Linked DNA regions of Struthio camelus. The protein of the gene in region 2 interacts with the protein of the main gene of each other region in a biochemical or structural test. Links are inferred from orthologs where the notes say so. Each region holds a gene or a part of one and is shown on either strand. Other genes may lie near its edges. The genes, in order: ACTR1A and SPTBN2.

Region 1 (15,059 bases), on a different chromosome or scaffold from region 2:
GTAAAAACCCATTCTCCTAAGTCTTGTGGTATCTTGAAGCACTTAGGGGGGGAAGAAAAAAGAAAACTAGTCCCATCTGACATTCCCCATCTCCACCTGTACTTCACTTTCCCTCCTACCATCACCAGGTTGCATTGGAGGCGGTCTGAGGTCTCTGTAGTAAACATTCGGCCAGGTGGTTATGTTCAGAGTAGTGGCACTGACCCTCTGGCCAACTCTCAAACTCCACATGGCAATAACTTCTAGCACAGTAATGGGGACGCAGCCAGATGGAAGTGATCATAGCCAGAATGCAGTCACACTCCTCCTAGGAGCAGCCAAGCACAGGGTCTGTGTACAGTTGCCCTATACTTTGCATGCATGCAGAGCACCTTCGCTCCCAGAAGCACTGAGGGTGTCCAGGCCATCTCCCTAGCTCGGTATTTGCTAAGAAACCCACGTGGAAAGCTGCAACAGTTTATTTTCCCCCGTCTCTCGCTTTAGAGCTCCATTTTGTGCAGGACAGAAGTGCAAGGCCGTTCTCCTGAGGAAAAGGAGTGACACAGACACATGAATTCCTCGTGAATGGCAACAGTCATGCACAATTATGCAAAGTTACCTGATTGGGAAGACTCCAGAGCGAGAGAGGTCAATATAATGACCAGCAAAACAGTGTGGGAGGTTAGCTAGTGGCTGGAGCAGATGAATAGGATTTGCAGTGAGGGGAAAACACCTCCACCTGCTACACAACAAGTTTCTCCTGCGTGCATAAAACCTGCTCCCAAAATGGGTTTAATAACACCCTAGACACCAGATGATTCACACTGGAACATTGTTTGCTGACACAAGGCATTTTGACACTCTGACAACACACAAAACAAATAAACCTTTAACTGACCCCTTTTCAGGGCAGGGACTTCTCTGCAAGCACGCTCTTCCTGAGGGCTTCTCAAATGGCATTCTTCAATCAGACGCAACAGTGAGCAAATTCTTCCTAGACTGCACTAGGCAAGCCAGACATCCCTCCCTCATCCCCGCAAGCAACCCTGTACTTCTCAAAAAAACATCACACCTCTCATGGGATCAGCAGCATCAAACTACCCAAGATCCAGGTGCAAAGACACTGCACCAACTGCCTTAGGAGAGCTGAGCTCTGCTTTGTGTAGAGCAGACCTGGTCAGCTAGCCACATACCAGCTTACACACTACACAGTAATCCAGATGGACCACGTTTATTCCCCACGAAATCTGGTAGGCTTGGAAGTGATTCAGATAAAGTAAAAAGTCTGCAGCAGTAACCTATTTAAAAAAATACATAAGCATGCCATAGAGCTATGCTGAAATCACTACAACCACAGGAGCACCTAGCACTAGCTTTAAGCCAGTTACCAGGAGGACAGCTAGTAACGTACCCATGGCAGCAGAGCTCAGCCAAGGCTAGTCAACACAGATATTCATCCAGTTTCATGGGCAGGTTTGCCTGCTACACTACCTCCTCAGGCACTGCTAATGCCTGCTCTGGTACATCCTCCCGCCTACAGTCACTACAGCGCTGTTCAACCTCGTATCACAATCTACATATCTACATATTGTACATACATACAAAGAGCTAGAAGGGCTGGAGGATTTTATTCAGAAGAGCTAAACTTCAAAGCTACAGGTACAGTACAAATTTGCTACATTCTCTACTCATGGAGCTCATTTAGGAGCAAGAAGGGCAGCCTCAGGGGAAATACGGTATTTGTATCTGCATGAAGAATCTTCTTTTGACTGATGTTAAGAGTGCTCTGAAGTCTCTGCTGGAGCAGAAACCCAAAGTGGGCAGAGGGGAAACAGCTCCACAATGAGAAAAACATTGGGAAATCCCCAATCTGTTTACACCCTGAAAAGTCTCCAGGGGATCCTTTATAACCATTTCCAGCAGCTGACAACAGGTCTTTTCTTCTCCACCACCTTTTGCCAGCCCTTCAGGAATGGTCCATGATCCCCAAGTAGCTGCAGAGCACAGGTCAGAGCACTGCTTTTCAACTACACAGCCCAAGTTCAAGGCAGATGATGAAAAAACAACAGTCCTGCCTGAATTCTATGTAATTCAAAACCTATCACAAAGTAATGGAAGTATAAACTTGCTTTTTCACTTGTAGTTCTGCGCATCAAGATATTCCACTTCAGAGGCATTCAACCACATTTTAAAAGCAAACACTGGTATTAGATGGCAACGGAAACTAACTCCTTCTCAGAGCGTAGCCTTTCACAGCCAGGAGCTTTTGCAAGAAGCTCTGACTGCAATCAAGAACTCTCTTCCAAGATATGCAAATGGTGTTTTAAAAAAAGATCTGCTAATTTCATGAAATCATTTGTACGGCCAAATCCCTTCATTTAACAGGTATGTATGTGACTCTGTGGATCCTCCAACTTTATGAAGTAAGGCATATGCTCTGCCATGTCAGCCCAAGAATATAATTTCAACTCCCTGAACAAAAACTTGTTGCTAACCGTAGAGAAACTGATATGTGTTATTAAAAGCTGACTAGCTTTATAGTATTTCTCCTACAGCAAGAAACTTTGTTCAGCAATTTCCTTTTTCAATTTAAACCATGTAATAGCTCACAGCTCAAGCAAAGGAGGATAGACTAGTTGAGAGCAAGCGGTGGCAGAACTCATTTATCAGACTTAACAAAACCAACCTCCTAGCTTTGCCAGCTTTGCCAACAAAAGGAGAAAAAGTCTCAGCAAAGTACATGCATACTTGACCTCACATAAGTTTCCTGCATGTGACAGCAGCAGTAAGGGCACCTCTGAGATTCTGCGACAGAAGCTCTCAGTTCGCACTGCCAGCTGAGATGACAGTAGGAAGAACCGTTAAGCAGAAAATGCTAGTATAAACAGGCCTTCATATTACTTCTTGCATGCAACCTATCATCACTGCCAATAGCAGTTTTTCCAGTGTTTGAGCTCCCAAATGCAATGAGGTCCTAATCAACCCCTTAAGCAAACAGGAAGCAAGGATTCCTCCTGAACAAGGGTCTCTGCCATTCCTCATTATAGACTCAAAACTCCCTCCATCCCGTACATATCTTACGTCACTCTTGCCAGTAGTATTTTAAGCTGTTGACTCCTAAACCAAAATGACTGGAAGACTCACGAAGCTTGAATATCTAAGATTAGATATTGCAAGTGCCTACACAAATTGAGCTGACCATCACTGAAGTACCACAGTACTGGCCTGTATGAATGATTAAGAAGTAATTTTTATTCCAAAATCACAGAGTTGCAAGATCTCCTTGTCTCAGTCCACTATGCCAGTTTAATGAGGACTAACAGCTACATTTCTTGACCGGAACCTCATAAGGAGCAACACTCATCTGGAAGACATCAGCAACGGCTTGCCTGTCAGAGCAGAACACAGGGAGGATGTTATTCTGTTGCTGCTTAGGATGCAACAACGGGATAGAGACACACACAGGTTAAAACTTACTGTAAATAAAGAAGCTGAGCTTTTGCTAAACTTTTTCAAAGTGCTGGAAGAGATTGGTCAATGTCAGGGCCAGGAAACAGTCAGTGGTGACCTGATCGTGTTCCTTGGGTCCAGAAGAGGGGGCTGAACAGCAGAGCTATAGTAAAAAGCATGAGGGACTCCTCTTCCCACAGGGCTAGACGCTAGACACTTATCTCGATAGCTAAACATCCGAGTGCTTCCTTCGTGCCACTCTCCCACATAAACAACTGCTGTTACTGGTGTCAGACACTGTGTCAGCAGCGATGGGAAGCAGCAGATCCTCAGCCTACGACAACACGTGGCTCTGCGAGGGCAAAAGAAGCTGATTCTCTCCCAGGGTGGGGGGGGGGGTTTATGGGCACACACCGCACGCGTTTGGTTTGGAGGCCAGAGTGCAGGTTCATCCTGGTCAACTCTGGCCGTATTTGTACCCCAGGCTCCAGGTCAGAAGAGGAGTTTGCGCTTCGTGTTCGGCAGGAGACACGCCAGGACCACCCAGCTCTCTGCGGGAGCCCCTCTGTTGAGGGAAACTTTTCCCATGGCCTCTGCCCCAGCCAAGACCCTCATCAGCCCCCATCCCTCGCTCAGGGAAGCTCCACATCACCCTAAAAACCCCAATAACATCACCCACCCTCAGTCCAGTCCCCTAGACCCCTGCTCTCCAGGGCCTCCCTCCCCCGCCCCCTTGCACCCCACCGGCTGCCTCCCCGCACCCCACTGCTCCCTCCCAAACACCCTTCAGCCCCACTACTGTCACTCCAACCCCCCCCCCCGGGCCCCAAACTCCCGCCAACCCCATGCAACGTCCCCCAGCCCCAATGCCCCCCCTGAGCCCTCTCCAACGCCACACGAGGCCCCCAGCCACCCCCCCCGACGCCGGCCGCGGCGGCCTCACCAGTACTTGAGGATGGCGGTGACCTGGAGCGGGTTGGGCTGGTCGGGGTAGAGGCGGCGGCACTCGCCGTAGATGCCGTGCAGCCCCGGCGGGAAGAGCGACGGGAAGGACCCGGACCCAGAGCCCGAGCCCGGCCCGCCGGCAGCGGCGGCGGCGGCGGGGGGACCCCCGCCAGGCCGCACACCCTCCATGGGGGACGGCGCGGCGGAGGCGGCGGCTGCTCCCGGCGCGGCCCTCGCCCGCTCCCGGCCCCGACGCGCGCCCAGCCCGACCCGACCCGACCCGGCCTGGCCCGGCCCAAGCGGCGCGGCGCTGCGGGAGGAGGGGCGGGGCGGGCCCCGCTGCCCCGGAGACCGTGAGTGGCAGGCGGCTCAGCCAATGGCGCTGCCGAGCGGGGCGGGGCGGCTACGCCTCTTCCCCCTCAGCGCCCCGCCTCGCCCCGCCGCCGCGCCGGGGAGACGCGCGTGCGCCCTCTAGCGGCGGCGGCGGGGCGGGGCCGCGGGGGCGGGGCGAGGGCCCTGTGGGGGGCTGCGGGGTCGGGGGGGGGTGAGGCGCAGAGCTGCGTGTGGCGGGGTGTGGGGCCCTGTGGGGAGCGATAGGGTCCTGTGGGGGGGGGGGTGAGGTACAGAGCTGCTGTGTGGGGCCCTGTGGGGAGCGATAGGGTCCTGTGGGGGGGGGGTGAGGTACAGAGCTGCTGTGTGGGGCCCTGTGGGGAGCGATAGGGTCCTGTGGGGAGGGGGGGTGAGGCACAGAGCTGCTGTGTGGGGTGCTGTGGGGAGCGATAGGGTCCTGTGGGGAGGGGGGGTGAGGCACAGAGCTGCTGTGTGGGGTGCTGTGGGGCCCTGTGGGGAGCGATGGGGTCCTGTGGGGAGGGGTGAGGTACAGAGCTGCTGTGTGGAGAGCTGTGGGGAGCGATAGGGTCCTGTGGGGAGGGGGGGTGAGGCACAGAGCTGCTGTGTGGAGAGCTGTGGGGAGCGATAGGGTCCTGTGGGGAGGGGGGGTGAGGCACAGAGCTGCTGTGTGGGGAGCTGTGGGGAGCGATAGGGTCCTGTGGGGAGGGGGGGTGAGGCACAGAGCTGCTGTGTGGAGTGCTGTGGGGCCCTGTGGGGAGCGATAGGGTCCTGTGGGGAGGGGGGTGAGGTACAGAGCTGCTGTGTGGGGAGCTGTGGGGTTGTATGGGGAGATATAAGATCTGAGCAGGAAGGGAGGGTGAGATACAGAGCTGCCATGTAGGCAGCTCTGGGGTCTGAGCGGGGGTGAGGTCCGGACCTGCATACGGGGAGTTATGGAGTCATGTGGGGAGGGGTGAGGTACTGAGCTGCCATGTGGGGACCTGTGGGGCCCAGAGGGGAGCTGTGGGTCGGGGTGAGGAAGGGCAGCCGTGCCGTGCAGGGCCGAGGAGTGGAGGTTGCAGGTTCCTCTGTGAGCCCAAGGGAAGGGAGCCCTGTGGGGCAGGCCTCGGGGGAGCCCCATGGCAGGGGGGGGGGGGCAGGCCTCTGTTTTCACCAATTCTTACAGCACCTTTTTCACCCCTTCTTTTATTTATTTATTTATTTATTTATTTATTTATTTATTTATTTATTTATTTATTTATTTTAGGTACCTCAGAGGCTGTTGTTAAGCAATGTAAGCGCAAGGGATGTCTGATCGAGGGTTTTACCCTGCATGCTCAGGGCGCTGAGGTCTGGCCTCTTCCTGGGTTACAGCTACATCTGTGGTCCTGCAGAGCCTTCCTTGTGTGTATATGTGAGCTTGCATGTGTTCAAGAACCCTATATGTCTTTGCAGGAGCGGTGTACTGCTTTTTAATCAACATGGGGAAGACTGAGCTATAGAGCACTGGGAGGTGAGAAGGAGTGCTCCTGCTTGTTGTGTTTCTCACTTAATTAGTTGGAGAGACTTTGCTCCAAAATCAATATTCACAACATACCTTTTAGGTGATCACATATAGTCAAGAAGTTGGCAAAGAGACAAGCAGATGATTATACCAGGAAAGGAGGTGAGCAGCTGGTATTTTCATGAATCATTGCTTCCTGCAATAACAGTATTTCACTTGTCCTGTTACCGTGATACCACTTTTTGTGACATCCATCTGAGAAGTCAGTTATAGTCAACTGAGAAGATAAATATGACAAACAGAATCATGTATGAAATACTTTGTTGGCTTAATATACGTAATTAGTCTCTCTTGGCATTTAATGAGGTGATACAATACTGTCCTTGAAATAATTTAAAACCCTCCATCCTGTCGTACCAAATAAAGTTCTTTTGCACTAAATGAAGGATAAAAATTACTAAAACAAGATAGTTAGCTGAGATGAGAGTATCTGCTTGGGTTTGAGGCAAAAATCACAGAAGAAAAGTCTTAGCGTCTGCATGAGAGATAGGGGGCAAGATGGGCTAGTTCTGAAATAGCTTTCATATACATTTACTGGCTTTGAATAACAACACCGGGCCTTGACGTTAGTTAAAATGCACTTCAGAGTTCAATGTATACTTTGCAAACATGTCGTTTTAGTGTCATGATCAATCATCAATTATTCAGAATGTTTTTAGAGAACGTGAAAATGAATGGAAAACAACAGTGAGCATATTATTTAATGTGAGAATGCCTATTACGTATGTTCTTGGTACCAACACTCCTTTTCTGCTTGCTACATCTCAAAAATACAGAGAAACTAGTTGATGTTCAGAGAGAACTGATGCACTATGACCAGCAGTTTACTGAAATGGTCTCATCAAATAACTAGCAGCAGAATGCTTTTATTATAGTGATATTCTTTCTATAGAGGGTCATCTTTTGTTTGTTTTTCTGCTAGTATAAAAATTGAAAAAAAAAATCTATTCAACTGAAAAGTGGTTAATTGAAATTTGATAAATTTTCAGAGAAGAAGATAGTTAACCCCTAGAATGCACAACCGCAGACGTCAGTAAGTAGAAGAGTACCAAGAGACGGCAGGAACAGTTGCAAAATGGTATGGGTAATGTTAGGAAAATCTGCTTTTTAATTAACTACAGTTATCACTTACACTTGAAAGCAAATTTATTACTGATGGGCTTGGGAATACACCTAGCAGTGGGTAGGGAATTTCACAATGGTATATTTTCTTTTTCTCTGGAGCATTTGCTCCCAGAGGCAGAGCAGCAGGCGCCCTGTGCCTTTGGCGCGGCTGCATTTTTCTGCGTTTTTCTTGCAAAGATGCACGAAGGAGGAACAAAATAAAACCAAAGGGTTCTCAGACTTCCATTTCAGTTGTGTCAAAAGGCAGCTTCAAGGGTTTGGATGTTTCTTTTTTGCTTTTCTCTCCTCCCGTTGCGCGGGTTTGTCATCCTCGAAGCAAGCGATCGCGCCGGGGGCTCTCGCGGGCATGGCCCACCCGGCACTACATCTCCCAGCAGCCCCCTCTCCTGACGGCACTTCCCGTGAGGCCTCGGGGCGCCGCGCGGCACGAAGACTACAATTCCCAGCACGCACCGCTCCTCGGGAATACATCTCCCAGGCGGCTGCGCGCCGCCCTTCTGTGCATGCGCCGCCGCGGCCCGGGCTGTTGCTGCCTGGCTGCTGGCTGCGGCGCGTCCTCGCCATGGAGTCCTACGATGTGATAGCGAACCAGCCCGTCGTGATAGACAACGTGAGTGCGGGGCCCTGCGCGCCCTGGGGACAAGGCGAACAGGCGGGAAGGAGCCGCGGGCGGGAATCCCTTTGTCACCGGAGCCCCGCCCCGCCGGCCCGCTCCCCCGCGGCAGCCCCCCCGGCTCGGCCTCCGCCTTGGGCCCTCGCCCGGCGCCGGGCCCAGCGGGCGTGCTGAGCCGGTGGGCGGGGCCGCCGGCCTCCCCCGCTGTGCGATTGGCTCCGGGGCCTGCCCGTCACAGGGCCGCTTACTCTCGCCGGTAGGGAGCGGTCCCTGCCGCCGCCGAGGTGCCCGGTCCCCGCGATGGCGGAGCGGCCCGATTGGCTGGCGCGGCTGTCAGTTACGGCCGGGCAGCCCGCTAGTACCTGCTTCAGCGGGGCGCGTCCCGCCCCACCCTTGCAGAGAGCACCTGTGCCCATTGGCTGGCTGGGCTGTCCGTCAGGAGCGGCTCGGGATTCCCCCCCCCCCCCCGGCCTTGTCCTCCTCTTTGTGCCTGGGGGACAATGGGGAGCGGCGGCCCGGGGGCGCCCTCTTCTCCGGCGCTGCCCTAGCAGATCCCGGCGGCAGGGCAGCCGGCGGGGCGCCAGCCCCGGACCGCCGCCTCGCCGGGTGCCCACGCGGGCTTGCTGGGCGGGCCGCTCCCTGCGTGGGTTGCATCAGCTTGGCTTTGACAGTGGGGCGTGGTGCCGCAGGTGACTGATGCGGGCGGATGGTGCCCCTCCTTAGCTCAAAGAAGAGCTTCCGCCTGGCTGGGTAGCGTATGAGGTGAATGAGGGTGACTGCATGCGCTGAGGAGATATTTCTGAGTCCAGTTCTGGTTAGTCCCCATCCAGACTGGCCTCCCAAGAGGACGGACTATCCAGGAAGGGCTGGGAGGAGGGAAGGCATGGGGTAGTTCGGAGGGAGCCTCACTCAGTGTAGTGAGTCACACATTCATACTCCTCCCTCCTGACCTCTGCTGCCAGTGATTCAGGTTTTCCTGTTTCAAAGGGTCAGTGCTTGTGCTCCCTCCTTTCTCCATCATCTTATTTACTCCTGAATCGTTTTGCCGTGTGGCATGTGGACTTGCTACCCTGGCACTTCTCAACCTAGTCCTTTTTTTCATGAGCTGAGTGAATGTAGGTCTTCTAGGATCAAGCCAATTATTCTTCTGACCTTTTCTTTCTTTATTATTGATCCCAATTTCCGCTCTACCGCTTGAGCTCTCTGATACAGTTTTGTTCTTGTGTCTTCCTCTGGAATTGCAGCAGTGAGATTTAGGTTAGACATCAAAGAGAACTGTCTAATGGAGAAGAAAATTAAGCAGCAGAATAGACTGCATTGAGAAAAACATGGCACTTTCTTTATTGGAGACTAAAGAATAAGTTAGGTTGATGCTCTTAAAACTAGCTGGAGTAATATCAACCCTGCTGTGGTGCTGGGTGACCAGCTAAGCATTTTAAGTTCTCTCCAGGTGTAACGGCGTTGTGAGGATGAGTTTGTTGCGAGAAGTCATATAGCAGCCCATATCTAATTTCAGTCTGTCCTTGCATTACTCAGTGCAATGATTGTTGTCCCTGCTTCAGCTCTGAAGAAGGGCTCGTGCTAGAAAACTGGTCCATTTCTTTTCTCATTTTATCAGCTGGTCTTATAAAAGCTAATAATTCTTCTTGCCTCTCTGATAAATGAATTTTCCCCTTCCTTTTCCCGTACAAGAGGTATAATGAAGCAGTTGTGCGATCTGCCCTTAATGCTGGCAAACTCTCAGCTGCAGAGCTTCGTGGTGACATTGCATTTTTGGTACTCTCATGAGTTAAGGCAAGACGGGAAGTGGAAGCTGCACAGAGAAAGTACTGCTGTTCGTGCTGCCTCGTGAATGCTTTTCCTTAGTGTTGCAGGCGACTTTTCAAGGCTGAATGTCATCCCGTCTCTTATGTGTATGGGAGGGTGGGAAGGGGAAAATGAAGACTGAGCTCGTAAACAAGCCGGATCCTGCTGGTCCCAGCCCTGCTCTAGTATCTCAGTGTGTTCCAAAGGGACATCAAGGAATGTGGCTAAAACTTGGATCAGACTTTCTCATGCCAAACAGCAAGCTCAGCTTCATATTTCCAACGGAGAGAGTTTTGCAATGTACAGTTAGAGCTTGGAGCTTCCCTGCAGTACAGCCTTAACATTCCTTCTTTTCCAGTAAGTTTTTTTTTTTTTTTTTTTAAAAGAAGACTTGCGTTCCCATCTTGTACTCCAAGAAGTTCTCACTGAAACAAATGGCTTGAGAGACCCGATGGACATAAAGAACATGTTAAGAGATAGCATAGTTCAGCTGTGGCCTAAGCAAGTGCAAATTCCTTGACCTCCGTGGAATTGTCTTCACTTATATCAAAGAGGATAAAATTTGGCTTTGTCATCTAAGTGGTATCATTTTAAACAGTTGAGCTGTCACTACAGAGTATTGTATCTTTCATTTGTTCTTATGAAATGAGCCTCTAGTAAAATAGTGTTGTAAGAATATGAAATGTAATTGCCTCATCAAAAGTGCTGCACAGCAGATTGACTTTCTTGGTAATTTCCATTTAAATTTGTGTCCTAAACACATGAATGAAAACGAATGAATCAATAACTGAGTCAGCTGCAGAGCTAGCAGAAGGGGCATGTTCAGGTACTTTAAGGTGAAGGAAGACAGTCTCAAGGAAAACTCTCAGGAGCATCTTAAAGTTTTTTTTTTTTAATGTAATTTCTTTCTTCTTTCATTCTTCTGCTCAGATACAAAAACAAAAAAAATCATACAGGATGAAAGCCCAACCAGGATATGTTCTGGTGGAAGGATGTTAATTTTGGAGTTCTTTTAAGTTTTAATAAATCAGAACTTCTAGCAGAAGCGAGGATGCATGGTATTTGGTTACTTGAAAGAAAGGAAAAAAACGGATCTTTATTTTAAACTTTTTCAATCAGCCAGAGTCATTTCAACACTTAAACCTTTTCCTCTCGTTATATGGGAATCTCAAACTGGGCAATAATAAATAGCTTTACTCGGTACGCACACATCTTCAAAGAAGTAAAATGTTTTCAAGGAAAATTGAATAGGTCAGAAAGCACTGTCACATCTTTGTAGTGCGGGGAGAGCAAACAGCTGTGCTTGGGTTATTCCCAGGCATTTGGAAGTGCAACTGTGTTTGAGTTCTGTCCTACCGGCATATTCAAAAAGTCATTCTTCTTTAACTCCAGCTAAGCATTCTGAACTACTGACACATTTGGTTAACTTTGAACTTCAATATGTAAATCTAAAAATGCGTAACTTGCTGGGAATCTCACCAGGACACTATGGGTAACTTTTGGCCTGGCATAAGGAAGTTTTGATTGCCCTGTTAAAATAGGAGCATCATTGTTCTCCTGAAACTACTTCCCAGCAGCAGGCTGTGCTGGCTGCAAGATCAGTCATTATCTGGAATGAGATATTCAATAAGCACAATATTCTGGTGTGGTTTTGTTCCTGCATTTGATTCAACTTTTTGCTACGAGGCTTAACAAAGGATGACTTTTTTTTTTTCCCCTCCCCTCAGGTATAAGGATTGTTTACAGACTGTGGTGAGGAAACTCGGAATAGTATTTTTGTGTTCTTGAATCATTACTTCGCTTTGAAGTGAATAGCCAGAAGAGAGTTCGTCTAAAAGGATGACTTTTAACACTTTACAGGCCGCTTTGTCACATCTGTGCATGTTAGTATAGATATTGGAAGAGAAAGCTGGAGCGGAGTCCTCCTTGCCTAGAGGGAGTAGTCCTGCCCTGGTACCAGCTTGGTTTGCCCTTGGAGCCAGCGTGGCTGCAGGCAGTTATCAGGGCACGAGGATTCAAGCTATCTGCTTTTATACCTTCTATAACTAGCTGCGTCTGGCTTGCAGAGTGTTCCTGATACTCGTCCCTCACAGATGGGTCCTGGCAAATCTCACTGGCAGTTTTAAGGCAGGACTGCACCAGCTGGTTGCCCAGCCCTGGTGGCAGAGCGCGCACGGTCTGTACGAAGCCTGGCACCTCAGCTGAAACTGCTGACAAAAGTGACCGGTGAATAAGGCGCAGGGCTGTGAACTGGAGAGGCTGGGGCTGGCTGCATTTCTTTGTGCTGAGCCTGCTCTGGCTGGTAACCTCTGGCCCTGGCGTGGGGCAGGGAGCTGGGATAGATGGGTCAGAAACCACTGCAGCGAGAGTTGCCAGAGTCTTTATGGCAAAGCCATGAGCAGGTTGTTTGACCTGTGAGTGAAAGTAGTGATGCTGACCCACACAGAGGTGGTGAGAAGGGAAGAGTCATGGAGGAGCTATGTTGCTATTCATTTTAAAATGCTGTGGGGCAGCCAAAATGTCTTTCTGGTTTTGTAAACAGAGCAGTCCTGCTGCTGAATCCTTGAGAGTGAACAAGCACTTCATTAATGCAAACTCACATGCTTCGCTCCCAGTACAGGATAAAAATGAACTGCTCCCCTTTCTGCAGAAGAGTTCGCGCCCATGGTAGTTTGGGGTTATCAGTGAAATGACTTATCTGAGGAGGTCCCATGAAAGTCCACTCCTCAGTGAAACTTGTGTGTTCCTGTGCACTGATCATTGTTTCAAGGTGTCATTCCTCTGTGCAAGGAGGGGAAATGGAGGAGGGAGAAGGGGTCTGCACAGACATACATTGATTATTGGGTTCCCAGGATCCCTCTAGATGATACCAACAGGGACAGAAGCTGTGGGGCCAGGTGCTCAGCGCTTACTCCCTGCCAGGGCCTCTCTGCAGCTGGTTTAACTTGCTCTGTGTTTGGTGCTTGCACTACTTTGCAAGTTCCAGAAGGCTTCTGGGAGTCGCTCCTGTCTGGCTGCTGTACCACACAATTTGTCTTCTAATCTCTTCTTCCTTGTCCCTTTTAAACAAATAAGCCATATCCTGTCAGCTGCTTTTTCCTGCCTCCAGCCCTTCCTCTTGCAGTCTGACCGGGACCTTTGTTGCTTCCAGACCCTAGTCCAGTCTAGTTTCCAGTATCTTTTTCTGATCGGACTTCCATGACCTGCCTCGTTAGCTTTTTCTAGCTTGTCCACCACCTGAACTTCTTTTCCTTCCAACCTGCTTCACATGATCGTTTCCCACTCCCTTCTCTGACTTTATCTACCCTCCTTCCATCTTCTCCAAATCTGCTTCTTCTGAGAAGCCTACAACCTCCATCCTCCCCTTCTTAGAAGTAGCCCCTGGAGCCATCCAGACAGTCAAGGTTTGGCTGCTGTTGCTAGACTTTATGAAATGCTCTTCTCTACCCGGAGAGCATTTAAGATAAATTGGAAAACTGCAGAGCTGGGATTTAGCCCGGTGGGCCTCCTGGATCCCTAGCACTTCATATAAGCAACAGCACTGGGGACTAAAATGTTTGTTGTCTGTTGGGAGCAGCTCTGGGGTGCGCACACTGAGCAGTACTGGGCACCCTGGGGTGATCAGACTGGAGGTGCTGTGCTGCTGCCAGGGAAGGTGCCAGTTAGTCCCCTCTAGTGGCCAAGCTGGCATACTGGCACCTTCCCATCCCCAACCCAGCTTGGAGAATTCACAAGAAGCTTTATTGCTGATAAAAAGGAGAGGATCTGGCAAGTCTGATGTAGTTTGCTGCTCTTTTCAAACTTGTGAAGATGACTGAATGGGTGATAAGCTCACACATTATCTGTTTTTCCCACAGGGCTCAGGTGTGATTAAAGCAGGTTTTGCGGGTGATCAAATACCAAAATACTGCTTTCCAAACTAGTAAGTACTCCACTGGCCTTGGTGAGTTCTTAGTAATACCGTGTATCGATTCTGTGACACTTTGTGGGGAAGAATGGTCAAAATGGTCCTAACTGGAGAAATTAGTTAAACTAGTTCTTCCTGCTGCGCAGAATGTGCCTGTGTGTCAGGAAGAAGAGATCGCTGTTGAGCACATTGAGATTTTTCTGAAAAAAGTTATGAAAGATTATATATTGCTTTGTCAGGTTCAGTACCTGACCAGAGCTTTAGGATTCTTTAGCCTTGAGACGCTAGGTGGTCAAAAAAAAGGGCAAAATGAAGTTGGGATGGGAGGTGTTGGCATGGGAGGTGTGAAGCCCTTTATAGTTCTTCAGTGTGTGATCTGGGTTCTTGATCCCTGCCATGCTTTCTTGAAAATTTTCTGGAAGTTTTACTGGAAGAAAGATTGCTGGATCAGGAATTCTGAGTAGTCACTGGCTTTTATTTTAATTTGATGTTTTTTTTAAATGAGTATATTTGTATTCTGAGCAATGCAGACTCGTCTGCTTAGTGAAATGGAGTATGGGGCTATAAATACCTAATTGAGAAGCCTACCTGAGGTCAAACAACACCATGTGGATCTACCAGCTCGGGCCCTTGCTCGATCTAGCCATGTTCGCCCCAGGCATCGCTGGAACAAATAAGCCCTGAATCATCAGGGCAAGTGTGGCTAGACTGAGCTGGCTTATGTCCTGCTGATTCAGGGATTAATTTAGGCCAGAGCAAACCTGGATCTGTCTATCTGCCTCTAGTAGTGCCCTCAGTCTCCCATTACTGCTGAAAGTACTGGTCAATGCACAGCGGAACATCAGGTAGTTAATCCTTGAGTACAGCTGGCCTCTCGCTCCAAAAGCATTAATACTCTTGCCTCTGTTCTAGTGTGGGCAGACCAAAGCACGTTCGTGTTATGGCTGGTGCTTTAGAAGGGGACATTTTCATTGGTCCAAAAGCAGAGGTAAGAAACTCTGTTTATTGCCTTATCCATATTATCTCAGTTTGCTGCTCTGAGTAAGGAGTTGTAGCACTTATGCTTAAAAGGGATGTGGTTGTTTGGCATCATTGTAGATATGACGAGCAGAACAGATCTCACTTTTAAGTGTGTTCAAGCTGAAGCAGGGAGCTTCATGAAATTCCTGTCCCAAGCTTGATCAGAGACCTTTTCCCTCAGTCTCATTTCATCTTCTCAAGTCCATCTATAGCTCTCCTTTTTCTAGGCTACTTCACAGTCTCTGTGGCTACATCCCCATCTTCTTGACTGGGGACTTCAGATTGGATCCTAGTTGCCTTTCATCCCCCTGGTCTGGGCA
Region 2 (15,054 bases):
CCCCGTGGCCGTGGTCACCCGGGGGGGGACCCGTCCCCGTCCCCGTCCGGGGGGGGGGGCCCCGCTCTCACCTTGCAGCTGCTTGAAGCGGCCCTCGAGGACGTCGGCGCTCGGGGAGAGGCGGGGGCCGGCGGGGGCCGCGGGGGGCCCCGGCGCGCGGTGGGCCATGGCGGGGGGACGCGGCGGCGGGGGGGACGCGGCGGCGGGGGGGACGCGGGCGCCGCGGGAGCCGGGAGCTCGGGCAGCGCCGGGGCGGCCGAGGGAGGCGCTGGGGCCATTTACATAAAAACAGGTTGGGCCGCTCCGGCGCGCGGTGCGTGTGCGCGTGGGTCTGCCTGTGCGCGCGTGTGTGCGCGCGCGTGTGTGTCTGCCTGTGCGTCTGTGTGCGTGTGTGTGTGTGTGTCTGCCTGTGCGTGTGTGTGCGTGTGCGTGTCTGCCTGTGCGTCTGTGTGTGTGTGTGTGTGTGTGTCTGCCTGTGTGTGTGTGTGTGTGCATGTGTGTGTGCCTGCCTGTGCGTGTGTGTGTGCGCGCGTGTGTCTGCCTGTGTGTCTGTGTGTGTGCGCGCGTGTGTCTGCCTGTGCTTGTGTGTGTGTGTGTCTGCCTGTGTGTGCATGTGTGCGCGCGTGTGTGTCTGCCTGTGCGTGTGTGTCTGCCTGTGCGTGCGTGTGCACGCGCATGTGTCTGCCTGTGCGTCTGTGTGTGCGCGTGTGCATGTCTGCTTGTGTGTGCGTGTGTGCGCACGCGTGTGCGTGTCTGCCTGTGCCTCTGCCTGTGCGTACGTGTGTGCGCGCGTGTGTCTGCCTGTGTGTGTGTGTGCGCGTGTGTCTGCCTGTGCGTGTGTGTGTGCATGCGTGTGTGCTTGTGCTTGTGCGCGCGTGTCTGCCTGTGCATGTGTGCGCGCGCGTCTGCCTGTGCTTGTGCGTGTGTGTATCTGCCTGTGCGTGCGTGTGTGCGCGTGTGTCTGCCTGTGCGTGCGTGTCTGCCTGTGCGTGCGTATGCACGTGTCTGCCTGTACGTGCATGTCTACGTGTGCGTGTGTCTGCCTGTGCGTGCGTGTGCACGTGTCTGCCTGTATGTGCATGTCTGCGTGTGTGTCTGCCTGTGCGTGCGTGTGCACGTGTCTGCCTGTGCGTGCGTGTCTGCCTGTGCGTGGCTGCGTGTGCACGCGTGCCCATGTGTGCGCACCTGCGCGTCTGCGCGTGCACGTCTGCGTGCGCGTGCGTGTCCACATGTGCCTGCGCGTGCGTGTCTGCGTGTGCACGCGTGTCTGCGTGTGTCTGTGTGCCTGTCTGTGTGGGCGCGCGTCTGGGGGTGGCAGGTGGAGCGGGGTCCCCCGGACAGGGGCAGCGGGTGGAGCGGGGTCCCCCGGACGCTGGGGCCCCCAAACGAGGGCAACGGGTGGAGCGGGGTCCCCCGGACGCCTGGGTCCCCGTCGCGCACAGGGGATCCCCCGGGACGCGCCAAGCCCGCCCGGACGCCGGGGCCCCCGGAACGGGGTGACCCCGCCGCCCGGCCAGGGGGCCCCGGCGTCCGGGCGCCCCCCCCCGCCGCCGCACACCGTACCGGCCAGCGCCTTGATGCGGGAGCGCTCGAAGAGCCGGGCCGAGCTGTTCTCGTTGTCCCAGTCGGCGGCGGCGGCGGCCGCGTCCCACCGGTTGTTGATGTCGTTGTACTGCTGCTGGATCTCCAGGCTGTCGTAGTCCGTGGGCGAGAGCATGGTCCCGGCCGCCGCCGCCGCCGCCTGTGGGCCGCCGCCTGTCACCGTCACCGCCGCGGGCCCAGGCGTCCGGGCTGCCCTCCCTCCCCCCCCCCCACCCGCTGCCGCTGCGCAGGTGCAGCCCTGCGGGGGAGGGGGGGGAGGCTGCAACCCCCTCCCCCCCCCCCAACCCCGGCTCTGCCGCATCCCGCTGGGGCCCAGGCGTCCGGGCAGCCCCCTGGGGACTCCTGCATCTGGGCAGCTCCCCAAGGGGCCCCGGCGTCCGGGCAGCACCCTGGGGGACCCAGGCGTCCGGGTGACCCCCTGAGGGGCCCCGGCGTCCGGGCAGCACCCTGGGGGACCCAGGCGTCCGGGCAGCCCCCCGAGGGGCCCAGGCGTCCGGGTGACCCTCTGAGGGGCCCCGGCGTCCGGGTGACCCCCTGAGGGGGCCCAGGCGTCCGGGCAGCCCCCTGGGGACTCCTGCATCTGGGCAGCTCCCCAAGGGGCCCCGGCGTCCGGGCAGCACCCTGGGGGACCCAGGCGTCCGGGCGACCCCCCAAGGGGACCCAGGTGTCCAGGCAGCACCCTGGGGGACCCAGGCATCCGGGTGACCCCCCGAGGGAACCCAGACATTCGGGCGACCCCCCCAAGGGGACCCGGCATCCGGGCAGCACCCTGGGGGACCCAGGCGTCCGGGTGACCCCCTGAGGGGCCCCGGCGTCCGGGTGACCCCCTGAGGGGACCCAGGCGTCCGGGCAGCACCCTGGGGGACCCAGGCGTCCGGGCAGCACCCCGAGGGGCCCAGGCGTCCGGGTGACCCCCGAGGGGCCCTGGCGTCCGGGCAGCCGCCTGGGGGACCCAGGCGTCCGGGTGACCTCCCGAGGGGCCCCGGCGTCCGGGGAAGCCCCACTGCCGCCCCCCTCCCGCAGCAGCTCCACACCCCCCCCCCCGCCCAGGGGCCCCGGCGTCCGGGCCCCGGATTACCGCTGAGCCCGGCCCGCGCCGCCGCCGCGGCTTATGCTCTTACGGCTGCGGATGAAGGGCCGCAGCCCCGATCCCTCGGCCCCCCCCTCCCCCCGCAGGGGGCTGCACACGCGTGTGCGGGGGCCACGGAGACCTGCCGGCACGGGGGGGCTGCACACGCGTGTGCAGGGGACATGGAGACCTGTGGGGGGGCTGGACACGCGTGTGCGGGGGCCACGGAGACCTGCTGGCACGGGGGGGCTGCACACGCGTGTGCAGGGGACATGGAGACCTGTGGGGGGGCTGCACACGCGTGTGCGGGGGCCACGGAGACCTGCCGGCACGGGGGGGCTGCACACGCGTGTGCAGGGGACATGGAGACCTGTGGGGGGGCTGGACACGCGTGTGCGGGGGCCACGGAGACCTGCTGGCACGGGGGGGCTGCACACGCGTGTGCAGGGGAACATGGAGACCTGCGGGGGGGCTGGACACGCGTGTGCGGGGGGACACGGATCCATGCATGCACGGAGAGGGCAGTCCATGCACACGTGTGCACACGGGGGACACGGAGCCAGGCGTGTAACGAGGGGAGTCTGTGCACGCGTGCGCACCCGGGGGACACGGCTGCGTGTGTGCGCGCAGAAGGGGGTCCAGGCGAGTCTGCGCGTGCCGAGGACACGGATACACGCATGCACGGAGAAGGATCTGGGCGCACACGCGCGCAGGGGGAGGTGGACGCACGTGTGCACGGAGAGGGGGGCCAGCCACGCGTGTGCACGCAAAGGCCACGCGTGTGCACGCAAAGGGGGCCATGCATGTGCACGCAGAGGTCACACGCGTGTGCGTGCAAAGGGGGCCACACGTGTGCATGCAAAAATCACGCGTGCATGCAAAAATCACGCGTGTGCACGCAGGATGTCACGCGTGTGCACGCAGGATGTCACGCGTGTGCCCGGAGAAGGCAGCCGGGAGCGACGCGGGTGCAGGCGTGGGGCGGGGGGGGGGACACCCAAACCCACGCGTGTCCGCGGGGCGCCGTGGGGCCGGGCGGGGGGCAGAGCGGCGGGGACGCTGCAGGGTGCAGCGGGGCTGGCGGCGCCGCAGTGCCGGGGCTGCGGCCGAGCCGGTTGTGGGGCAGGGCCGGGGGTGCTGTGGGGCTGTAACGGGGCCGGTTGTGGGGCAGAGCTGGGGCCGGTTGTGGGGCTGTAACGGGGCTGTGCTGTGGGGCTGTAACAGGGCCGGTTGTGGGGCTGCAGTGGGGCCAGTCAGGGGCCCCAAAGGATGCAGTGGGGCCAGTTACGAGGGTCCGCTATGGGGCTGCGGCAGGGCTGGTTGTGGGGCTGTAAGGGGGCTGGTTGTGGGGCAGAACTGGGGCTGCGGCCGGGCCAGAGCGGGACAGAGCCGGGGCTGGTTGTGGGGCTGTAATGGGGCCTGTTGTGGGGCAGTGCCGGGGCCGCTTGTGGTTCCCAGGGCTGGTTGTGCAGCTGTAACGGGGCCGGTTGTGAGTCTCGGGGCCAGCTGTGGGTCCCAGGGCTGGTTGTGGGGCTGTAACGGGGCCGGTTGTGGGTCTCAGGGCCAGCTGTGGGGCTGTAATGGGGCTGGCTGTGGGGCTGTAACGGGGCCGGCTGTGGGTCCCAGGGCTGCAGCGGAGCCGGTTGTGTGGCTGTAATGGGGCCGGCTGTGGGTCCCGGGGCCAGTTGTGCAGCTGTAACGGGGCTGGCTGTGGGTCTCGGGGCCGGCTGTGGGGCTGTAACGGGGCCGGCTGTGGGTCCCGAGGCTGCAGCGGAGTCGGTTGTGGGGCTGTAACGGGGCCGGCTGTGGGTCTCGGGGCTGCAGCGGAGCCAGTTGTGCGGCTGTAACGGGGCCAGCTGTGGGGCTGTAACGGGGCCGGCTGGGGGACTGTACCGGGGCCGGCTGGGGGTCCCGGGGCTGGTTGTGGGGCTGTAACGGGGCCGGTTGTGGGTCTCAGGGCCGGCTGTGGGGCTGTAACGGGGCCGGTTGTGGGTCCCGGGGCCGGCTGTGGGTCCCGGGGCTGGTTGTGGGGCTGTAACGGGGCCAGCTGGGGGTCCCGGGGCCGGTTGTGGGGCTGTAACGGGGCCGGCTGGGGGTCTCAGGGCTGCAGTGGAGCCAGTTGTGCGGCTGTAACGGGGCCGGCTGTGGGGCTGTAACGGGGCCGGCTGCAGGTCCTGGGGCCGGCTGGGGGACTGTAACGGGGCCGGCTGTGGGTCCCGGGGCTGGTTGTGGGGCTGTAACGGGGCCGGTTGTGGGTCTCAGGGCCGGCTGTGGGGCTGTAACGGGGCCGGTTGTGGGTCCCGGGGCTGGTTGTGGGTCTCGGGGCCAGTTGTGGGGCTGTAACGGGGCCGGCTGTGGGTCCCGGGGCTGGTTGTGGGTCTCGGGGCCAGTTGTGGGGCTCTAACGGGGCCGGCTGTGGGTCCTGGGGCCGGTTGTGGGGCTGTAACGGGGCCGGTTGTGGGTCCCGGGGCCGGTTGTGGGTCTCGGGGCCGGTTGTGGGGCTGTAACGGGGCCGGCTGTGGGTCCCGGGGCCGGCTGTGGGGCTCCGCTATGGGGCTGCGGCGGGAGGGGGGGGGCAGAGCCGGGGCAGGGGCCGGTTGTGGGTCCCGCCGATACCGGTACCGCTCCCGGTACCGCTCCCGGTACCTCCCGTCCCCGCCGTCCTACCTGGGCGCCGGCCGCGGGCTGCTGCTGCTGCTGTGGGTTCCGGTGCTGCGGAGCGGGAGCGGCACCGGGAGCGATACCGGTACCGCTACCGGTACCGGTACCGGCGGCGGCGCAGCCCGACAGCGCCGAGCGGCGGCGGCGGCGGCGGGAAGGGCCGCGGCAGACGCCGCCCCCCGCCGGGCCCCATTGGCCGCCGCCGCCGCCCCTCAGCGCCGGGCCCGGCCCCGGGGAACCGGCCCGGTGCCGCTCCGCGCCCCTCCCCCCCGCGGCGGGGGCCCAGGCGTCCGGGAGGGGCCCCTCCCCCCCCACCTCACCGGGGACGCGGCTCTAGGCCCTGCCGGCGCCCGTCGCCATGGCGACCGCGGGCCGTTACCGCCTTCCAGGAGCAGCCGCGGGGGGAGGGAGGGGCGGTTGCCATAGCGACAGCCCCTCGCGGAGGGGGGGGGCCTGCCCCGCTGCCCAGCGGTTGCCATAGCGACAGCCCCTCGCGCGCGGGTGGGGGGGGGAGTCCTGCCCCGCTCCCCCGCGGTTGCCATAGCGACAGCCCCCTTTCCCGCCGATGGGGGCCGAGGCTAGCTGTCGCCCGGGCAACGGAGCCCGACGCGGCCAATCGGAGGGGCCCGGAGGCGGGTCCTGGATGTGGGGGGGGGGTCCGTGTCGGCCCCGCCCCCGCCGGCAGGGGGCGCTCGCGGACGGGGTGTGGGGGGGGGGCGGATCATGGCGGACGGTGTCGTGCGCGCGGTGCGGGAGCGCGCGGGGCTTCAGGGGGTCCCTGAGGGGGACGGGGGGGTCCGGGGGGGTCCAGGGGTCCCTGAGGGCTTCAACGGTCCCTGAGGGGGACGGGGGGGTCCAGGGGGTCCTTGAGGAGGTCCAGGGGGGTCCAGGGGGTCCCTGAGGGCTTCAGGGGGTCCCTGAGAGGGATGGGGGGGCCCAGGGGTGGTCCAGGGGGTCCTTGGGGATGTCTAGGGTGGTCCAGGGGTCCCTGGGGTCTCAGGGGGTCCCTGAGGGGGATGGGGAGGTCCGGGGGGGGGGTCCAGGGGTCCCTGAGGGCTTCAGCGGTCCCTGAGGGGGACGGGGGAGTCCAGGGTGTCCTTGAGGAGGTCCAGGGGGGTCCAGGGGGTCCCTGAGGGGGACAGGAGGGTCCAGGGGGGTCCCTGGGAGCTTCAGGGGGTCCCTGAGGAGGACGAGGGCATCCTGGGGGGATTCAGGGGATCCTTGAGGCGGATGGGGGGGGTCCCCGGGGTCCATGGGGGCTTCAGGGGGTCCCTAGGGGCTTCAAGGGGTCCCTGAGGGAGCCGAGGGGGTCCAGAGGGCTCCATGGTGGGCCTAGGGGGTCTCTGGGGGCTTCAGGGGATCCCTGAGGGTTTCAGGGGGGTCCCTGGGGGGGATGAGGGCAGATTGGGGAGTCCCTGGGGGGGGGGGCCGCTCAGGAGGTCCCTGGGGATTTTAGGGGGTCCCTGGGGCCCTACACATCCCTGGAGAGGACGGGGAGGCCCTGGGGGGTTCCAGGGGGGCCCTCGAGGGTTTTATGGGGTCCCTGGGGGGGGGAATGAGAGCAGATGGGAGGGGCTCTGGGGGCTCCCACTGGCTCAAGGGGTCCTTGCAGGGGGTCAGGGGGCTTTTGCAGGTCCCTAAGGGCAATGGGGGGCCCTAGAGGGGTCTCTGGGGGGCCTTAGGGGGTCCCTGAGGGGAACAGGGGATCTCTGAGGGGTGTTCAGGGGGGTCCCTGGGGTCTCAGGGGGGCCCTGGGAGAGTCCCGGTGGGTCTTTGGGGGCTTTAGGGGGTCCCTGGTGTCTCAGGGGGTCGTGGGGAGGTTCAGGGGGGTCCCTGGGGTAGCAGGGGGTCCCTGGGGGGGTTGGGGACCCCCCCCATTCCCTGTGTAGGGGGGCAGGTAAGGGATTGGGGGGGGGGGCGGCCCAGGGAGCCCACCGCTGCCCCCCCCCCTCCAGGTGCTGGAGCGGCTCCTGCTGCGGCTGCAGCCGGCGGCGGGCGGCGAGCCGGGACGCGGGACCCTGCTGGTGGCCGTGGTGGCCGAGGGGGACGCGGGGGCCGCCGGCCCGGCCCGCTGCACGGCCACCGGTGCGTGACGGGGACGGGGACGGGGAGGGGGGGGGACACGCGCCCCGCGGGGCCCTGACGTTCGCTCCTTCCCTCCCGCAGTCGCCGCGGCGGGAGAGATCTGCTCCGCCATCGGCGCCGAGGGCATTTGGACAGGTAAAAACTTCCCCCCGACCACCACCACCACCATCCCCATCCCACCCCCGGCAAAAGGCGGGGGGGGGGGTCGGAGCCTCCTCCCCCCCGGCCCCCGACGCCCGTCTCTCCCTCCGGCAGGCGCGGACCACGTCCTGGCCCCGTGGGGCGCCCGGAGCGCCGCCCCGCCGCCCGCCGCCCCGTGCTGCCGGCCCGTCCTGGACGGCGCCCCGCTGCGTTCGGCCTTCGAGGTGCGCGGCACCCCCCCCCCCCGGGGACCCCCCCCCCGTCCCCGGCACGGCGCTGGCTGTCGACCTTGGAGCAAGGGGAAGCCGGGGACGGGCTGACACGGAGCGCGGCGAGCCCCAGGGACCCCCACCCCCCCCCTTTGCCGAAACTGGGGCGGGCGTTTAAATATAGCGGCCTCGTTTCTGCTGGCGGGTGCCGGTGGGACCGGGGCGGGCTGCCTAAAGCAGGTCACCGGGGCCCCGCCGCCGAGCTGGGGGGGGGATTCGTGCCCATCCGGCGGCCTCGTGTCCCCAAATCGGGTGCAAACGAGCAGGACGAGAGGCCTCCCGCTTTTTTCGGGGTGGGGGGTTTCGTTTTTTTGCCCCGTTAGCCCCTCTGCGTGCCCCGCGCCCGGCCGGCCCGTGCGACCACCGCTCTCTTCTTCGCCCCGCCGCAGCTCAACCCGCCGCCCGGGACGCTGAGAGCCGGCTGCGTCGCCTTGAGGCGCTTCATCCACGGCACGAGTGTGGTGCACCCGGAGGTGACGGCCCGCCGGCGGGGCGGCGCGGGGTCGCCGGTCCCCCCCCCACCGCCACCGCCAGCCAACCCACCCCGCTGTGTTGCAGCTCGCCTTCCACTACTGCTACCGCGTGGACGGCGCCGCGGCCTCGCGCACCTACGGGTGAGCGGGCTCCCGCGGTCCCTGAACGCCGCTCCGGCACCCCCGGAGCTCCGGCACCCGCTTCCCCGAAACCGGGGTCGCTCTTCCCCCCTCCCCGGGCCACGCCGTTTACATCGGCCCCGTTTCCGCTCTCCGCCGCCAGCGGGTCCGGCCCTGCGTGACGCCGCGGCTTCGGGCCGGGAGGCTCTGCGCCTCCGCGCGCCGGCGGGGGCCGAGGGGATTTCGACGCCGTTTCTCCCTCTTTTCCCCCCCTCCCCAACCCCGCAGCCCCGAGAGGCGGGAGAACATCTGCGAGCTGGGCGGAGCGCGGCTGCTCGCCCGGAGCGAGCACTTCGTGCGGTAAGGGCGGCCGAAGCTCGCGGAGAGGTGCCGGAAAACGGCTCGGCGGCGTCACAACGGCTTGTTTAAACGGCTTGTCCCCCCCCCCTCCCCAACCGGGGGGACTTTGCCTCGCCATCCCCCCCAAACGGCACCAGCCGAAAATCACCGGAGGCTCCTCCCGGCCTCCTCCGCAGGCCGCCCGCCGCCGGGGACGTGCCGCTGTGCCGCAAGATCCACCCGGCGCCGGGAGCCCCCGTCCGCCTGCGGACGCCGCCGGCCGCCGCCGCCGCCGGCCTCGGCGGGGAGCTGAGCGCGGTGCCGGCGGCCGCGCTCTGCCCCTGCCTCGAGCAGTACCCCAACGCGCCCTCCCGCCTCGCCTCCGTCTCCATATCCCGGCGGCGGCGGGGGCGGCGGGGAGGGGGCCGGGGAACGGGACTCGTCTCCAGGTGCCGTTCGCCGCCTTAACCGGCGCCACTTGTTCTGCTACGACCCGGCGGGGCTGCCGGCGGCGCGCGGCCGGCTCCGGCTCTTCGGCGACCCGGCGTGGCTGGCGGATTGGGGCAGGTTCGGCTGTTCGGCTTCGGCGGTGGCGGCGGTGACGGGCGAGGAAGGTGCGGGGACGGCGCGGGGTTGAGGTTGGCGGTGGGGGGGGGGGGACACGGCAAGGTGGGGCGGGGGCGGCCGCCAACCCGTTCGCCGCCGCTTCCCTTTTCCCCGCAGACCTGGCGGCGCCCGACGCCGCCTTCGCCCTGCGGCCCGGCCCGGCGGCGGACGCCGGGCGCCAGCAGACGCTGCTGCTGTTCCTCTTCATCCGCCGCGCCGACCCCTTCCAGGTCTACGACGCCTGTGCGTCACCCGCTCCCCGCCCGCGGCGTCCCCGCGGCGTGTGCGTCCCCCGCCGCCCCGTGACGGCCGCACCGCCGCAGGGACCCGGCACCTGCTGGCGTCGCACGTGGAGCAGACGCTGCTGGGCAGCCGGGCGGCTCTGCAGCGCGGCGTCCGGGCCCTGGTGCACCCCGTGCTGGAGGAGGTGGCCCGCCGGGCGCAGGTAACGGCGGGGACGCGGGACGCGGCCGCCCCGCGTCACCCGCCGCCACCGCCGCGTGCCGTCCCGCAGAGCCGGGCCCGCCTGGCCCGGGCCCTGCCCGTGACGCTGGAGGCGCTGAGCAACGTCGTGGCCAGCAGCAGCAGCGCCCGCTTCCGCCGCGCCTGCCTGCGCGCCCTGCAGGTCGGCCGGCCGGCCGGAGGGACGGGGTGGGGACGGCCGGAGGGACGCGGTGACACCCCGCTGCCCGCCCCGCAGGCGGCCGACGGAGCGGCGCTGGCCGCCGCCGCTCGGCGCCGCCTGACGGACGTCACCCGCCGGCGCCGGCTGCCCGCCGCCTCCTGCGACGCCGCCGCGGTGGTGGGTCCGGCCGGGGATCCCGCCACCGTCCCCGTGTGTGTCTCCCCCCCCCACCCCGGCTGTGTCCCCGTCACCGTCCCGCTCATCCCGGGGACGTTCCTGCAGCCCGGCCCCGAGGCGGAGCGGCCGCCGCCGAGCCCCGGGCGCGGGGCCACGGGTGAGACGAGCCGGCCCGGCGCTGCCCGCGTCCCCCCCCCCCAACCCCTCCGCCGCGGCCTCGTCCCCGTTTCCAGCCCGTTTTCACCCAATTTCCTGTCCCCCCCCCCCCCCCCCCCGCCGCAGGGTGCCCGTCGGACGCTGCCGGCGCGCAGGGAGGAAGGAGGAGGGCTGCCACGGCGGCGCCCGCCGCCCGGCCCCGGACGCCTGGGCCCCCGCCGGCGGGCCCGGCCGGCCCCGAGGCGGCCGCCTGGCTGCGGGCGGTGGCCAACCTGGCCGAGTGGACGCGGTGAGAGCCGGGGCGGCCGCCGGCCACCGAGGTCCCTCCCAGTCGGTCCCAGTTCCCCCCAGTCCCCCCTGCTCCAACTCGGCCCGCTTCCCCCAGTCGGTCCCAGTTCCCCCCAGTCCCCCCTGCTCCAACCCGGCCCGCTTCCCCCAGTCGGTCCCAGTTCCCCCCAGTCCCCCCTGCTCCAACCCGGCCCACTTCCCCAAGTCGGTCCCAGTTCACCCCAGCTGGTCCCAGTCCCCCCTGGTCCAGCCTAGCCTGATTCCCCCAGTTGGTCCCAGTTCACCCCAGCTGGTCCCAGTCCCCCCTGGTCCAGCCTGGCCTGGTTCCCCCAGTTGGTCCCAGTCCCTCTCAGTCCAGCCCACCCTGGTTCCCCAGTCCATCCCAGTTCCCCCAGTTGGTCTCAGTCCCCCCCAGTCCCCCTGGCCCAGCCCAGCCTGGTTCCTCCAGTCAGTCCCACTTCCTCCCAGTTCCCCCAGTCAGTCCCAGTCCCCCCACCCAGTCCAGCCTAGCCTGCTTCCCCCAGTCGGTCCCAGTTCCCCCCAGTCCCCCCGGTCCAACCCGGCCTGCTTCCCCCAGTCGGTCCCAGTTCCCCCCAGTCCCCCCTGCTCCAACCCGGCCCGCTTCCCCTAGTCGGTCCCAGTTCCCCCCAGTCCTCCCAGTTCCTCCAGCCCCCTCGGCCCGCCGCTCCAGCCCGGTGCCGGTGCTGGTGCCCGGTACCGGCTGCCCCTGCCCCCCCCCACCCCGGTCCCGGTGTCTGTTCCGGGCCCCTCCCGCTCGCGCTCTAGCTGCTAGCCCCGCCCCCTCGATGGCCCCGCCCCCTGTGTGGCTCTATCCCCGCCCCGCCCACCCGATCACCCCGCCCCGCCTGACGGCCCCGCCCCGTCCCCGCGTCCTTCACCCGATGCCCCCGCCCCCGCGCTGACAGGCTCCGCCCCCAACGCCGCCTGGCCCCGCCCCTCCCACGCCGCCCAGCCCTGTCCCGTCCTTGTGCTCCCCGCCCCTCCCCGGCTGGCCCCGCCCCCGCACCGCCCGGCCCCGCCCCCGCGCCCCCTGCCGCTCCCCGGCTGGCCCCGCCCCCGCACCGCCCGGCCCCGCCCCCGCGCCCCCTGCCGCTCCCCGCCCGGCCCCGCCCCCGCCCCGGTGCTCCCCGCCACTCCCCACCCGGCCCCGCCCCCGCGCCGCCCGGCCCCGCCCCCGCGCTCCCCGCCACTCCCCGCCCGGCCCCGCCCCCGCGCCGCCCGGCCCCGCCCCCGCGCCTCCCGGCCCCGCCCCGCCCCGCGCCGCGCCGCGCCATGGCGGTGTCGGAGGCCGCGGGCGGCTCGTCCTGGGCCGCGGCGGCGCCGGGCCGGGCCGGGCCGGTACCGGCAGCGGGTCCGGGTCCAGCCGCAGCCCCGGGAGCCGCGGCGGCGGCCGGGCCGTGCTGGGCCGCGCTGCTGGCCTGCCTGAGCCTGGCCTGCTCCTACGTGGGGAGCCTCTACGTGTGGGGCAGCCCGCTGCCGCGGTAGGGGGGCGCCGGGCCCGGGGCGGGGGGTCGTGGGGGTGGGTCCGTGTGGGGCAGGCCTGGTGCGGGGGGGGGCGGAGGTCTGGGGGGGTCTGGAGGGTTCTGGGGGGGTCCATGGGGCACGGGGGGGGTCTATAGGGGTCTATGGGGTGCAGGAGGGGTCTGTGGAGGGAGGTGGGGGGTCTGGGGGGGCCATGGGGCATGGGGGAGGGTCTGGGGGGCACAGGAGGGGTTTGGGGGGGTCTATAGATGTCTATGGGGTGCAGGAGGGATCTGTGGAGGGAGGTGGGGGGGTCTGGGGGGTCCATGGGGCACGGGAGAGGGTCTGGGGGGGCACAGGAGGGGTTTGGGGGGGTCTATAGGGGTCTATGGGGTGCAGGAGGGGTCTGTGGAGGGAGGTGGGGGAGTCTGGGGGGTCCATGGGGCACAGGATGGGTGTTGGGGGGGTCCTAGGATGTTCATGAGGCACGGGGGGGGGTCTGGGGGGTCTAGGGGATCCTGGGGGGGGGTCCTGGGGGGCCCATGGGGCACAGGAGGGGTGGGGGGGTCCTGGGGGGGTCCATGGGGTACAGGAGGGGTGGGGGGGTGCTGGGGGGCCCATGGGGCACAGGAGGGGCCTGGGGGGGTCCTAGGGTGTTCATAGGGTACAGGAGGAGGTTTGGGGGGCTCTGGGGGGCTCTTTGGTGTATGGGAGGGTGCAGGGGGGCTCTATGGGGCACAGGAAGGTGCAGGGGAGCCTACAGGAGCCCAGTCCTGCTGGGGGGGGCCTTGGGGGGGGGGTCGCACCCCCTCTCCCCCCTCCCTCCCCCCCCCCCCAGCTGACCCGCCCGGGGCCGCAGCGACCACCCGGCCGTCATCAAGCGCCGCTTCACCAGCGTCCTGGTGGTGTCGGGGCTGTCGCCGGCCTTCGTGTGGCTCTGGAAGGAGCTGACGGGCGTTAAGGTGAGGTCGGGAAGGGGCCCCGGCGTCCGGGAAGCGATTTTAAAGGGGTGGGGGGGGGCGCTGACCCCCCTCCCCTCCGCCATCCCCTTCCCCGCTGCTGCCGCTCAGCCAGACACGCCGCTGCCGGCGCTGCTGGGCCTGCGCCTGGAGGGGCTGGTGCCGGCCACGCTGCTGCCGCTGCTGCTCACCATGGTAGGTGGGGGGGGGCGGGACGTGGGGAGGGGGCTGCTGGGACCCCCCCCAGCACCCCCTTGCTTTGTCTGTGCGTGCGCTCCCCCCCCCCCCTTCCAGGTGCTGTTTTTGGGGCCCCTCATCCAGCTCTCCATGGACTGCCCCTGGCGCTGGCTCGACGGCCTCAAGGTGCTCGTCGGTAAGGGGACGCGGAAAGGGGTTTGGGGGGTGCTGGGGGGGGGCTTGGTGGGGGAGGGGGGGGCCGGGCGGGTGCCAGCGCCGTCTCCCCGCAGACCCCCGCTTCTGGGCGCTGTGCCTGAGCGACGTGCGCTGGCTGCGCAACCAGGTGGTGGCTCCGCTCACCGAGGAGCTGGTCTTCCGGGCCTGCATGCTGCCCATGCTGCTGCCCTGCGCCGGGCCGGGCCCCGCCGTCCTCGCCTGCCCCCTCTTCTTCGGCGTGGGTGAGCCTGGACCCCCCCGGACCCCCCCGTGTCCCCTGCGTCCCCCCCCAGACCCCCTGCGTCCCCTCTGGATCCCCCTGCACCGGGCCGGGCCCCGCCGTCCTCGCCTGCCCCCTCTTCTTCGGCGTGGGTGAGCCTGGACCCCCCCGGGACCCCCCGGACCCCCCCGTGTCCCCCCCGGATCCCCCTGCGCCGGGCCGGGCCCCGCCGTCCTCGCCTGCCCCCTCTTCTTCGGCGTGGGTGAGCCTGGACCCCCCCGGGACCCCCCGGACCCCCCCGTGTCCCCTGTGTCCCCACCATGTCCCCTGCGTCCCCCCTGGATCCCCCTGCGCCGGGCCGGGCCCCGCCGTCCTCGCCTGCCCCCTCTTCTTTGGCGTGGGTGAGCCTGGACCCCCCCGTGTCCTCTGTGTCCCCCCCCGTGTCCTCTGTGTCCCCCCCCGGACCCCCTGCGTCCCCCCTGGATCCCCCTGCGCCGGGCCGGGCCCCGCCGTCCTCGCCTGCCCCCTCTTCTTCGGCGTGGGTGAGCCTGGACCCCCCCGGGACCCCCCAGACCCCCCCGTGTCCCCTGCGTCCCCCCCGGACCCCCTGCGTCCCCCCCGGATCCCCCTGCGCCGGGCCGGGCCCCGCCGTCCTCGCCTGCCCCCTCTTCTTTGGCGTGGGTGAGCCTGGACCCCCCCGTGTCCTCTGTGTCCCCCCCCGTGTCCTCTGTGTCCCCCCCCGGACCCCCTGCGTCCCCCCTGGATCCCCCTGCGCCGGGCCGGGCCCCGCCGTCCTCGCCTGCCCCCTCTTCTTCGGCGTGGGTGAGCCTGGACCCCCCCGGGACCCCCCAGACCCCCCCGTGTCCCCTGCGTCCCCCCCGGACCCCCTGCGTCCCCCCCGGATCCCCCTGCGCCGGGCCGGGCCCCGCCGTCCTCGCCTGCCCCCTCTTCTTCGGCGTGGGTGAGCCTGGACCCCCCCGGGACCCCCCGGACCCCCCCGTGTCCCCTGCGTCCCCCCCGGATCCCCCTGCGCCGGGCCGGGCCCCGCCGTCCTCGCCTGCCCCCTCTTCTTCGGCGTGGGTGAGCCTGGACCCCCCCGGACCCCCCCGTGTCCCCTGCGTCCCCCCCCAGACCCCCTGCGTCCCCTCTGGATCCCCCTGCACCGGGCCGGGCCCCGCCGTCCTCGCCTGCCCCCTCTTCTTCGGCGTGGGTGAGCCTGGACCCCCCCGTGTCCCCCCGGACCCCCCCGTGTCCCCCCCGGACCCCCTGCGTCCCCCCTGGATCCCCCTGCGCCGGGCCGGGCCCCGCCGTCCTCGCCTGCCCCCTCTTCTTCGGCGTGGGTGAACCTGGACCCCCCCGGACCCCCCCGGACCCCCTGCGTCCCCCCCG

The links.
Region 1: the proteins of SPTBN2 (region 2) and ACTR1A form a complex in vitro, tested with the Homo sapiens proteins (2 studies listed by BioGRID). The link is inferred for Struthio camelus from reciprocal best matches to the Homo sapiens genes SPTBN2 and ACTR1A.

Annotation. Positions count from the first base shown.
Region 1 is NC_090948.1:15,728,389-15,743,447, forward strand, and holds the start of ACTR1A (alpha-centractin), read left to right. Parts: upstream 1-7,811; 5' UTR 7,812-7,955; coding exon 7,956-8,003; intron 8,004-13,669; coding exon 13,670-13,734; intron 13,735-14,631; coding exon 14,632-14,707; intron 14,708-15,059. Other genes in the region: SUFU (suppressor of fused homolog), read right to left, coding at 4,373-4,563. UniProt on the Homo sapiens protein: Part of the ACTR1A/ACTB filament around which the dynactin complex is built. The dynactin multiprotein complex activates the molecular motor dynein for ultra-processive transport along microtubules.
Region 2 is NC_090976.1:454,042-469,095, forward strand, and holds the start of SPTBN2 (spectrin beta chain, non-erythrocytic 2), read right to left. Parts: upstream 5,483-15,054; 5' UTR 5,339-5,482; intron 1,742-5,338; 5' UTR 1,718-1,741; coding exon 1,564-1,717; intron 1-1,563. Other genes in the region: RCE1 (CAAX prenyl protease 2), read left to right, coding at 11,905-12,113, 12,953-13,055, 13,164-13,247, 13,347-13,425, 13,520-13,687. UniProt on the Homo sapiens protein: Probably plays an important role in neuronal membrane skeleton.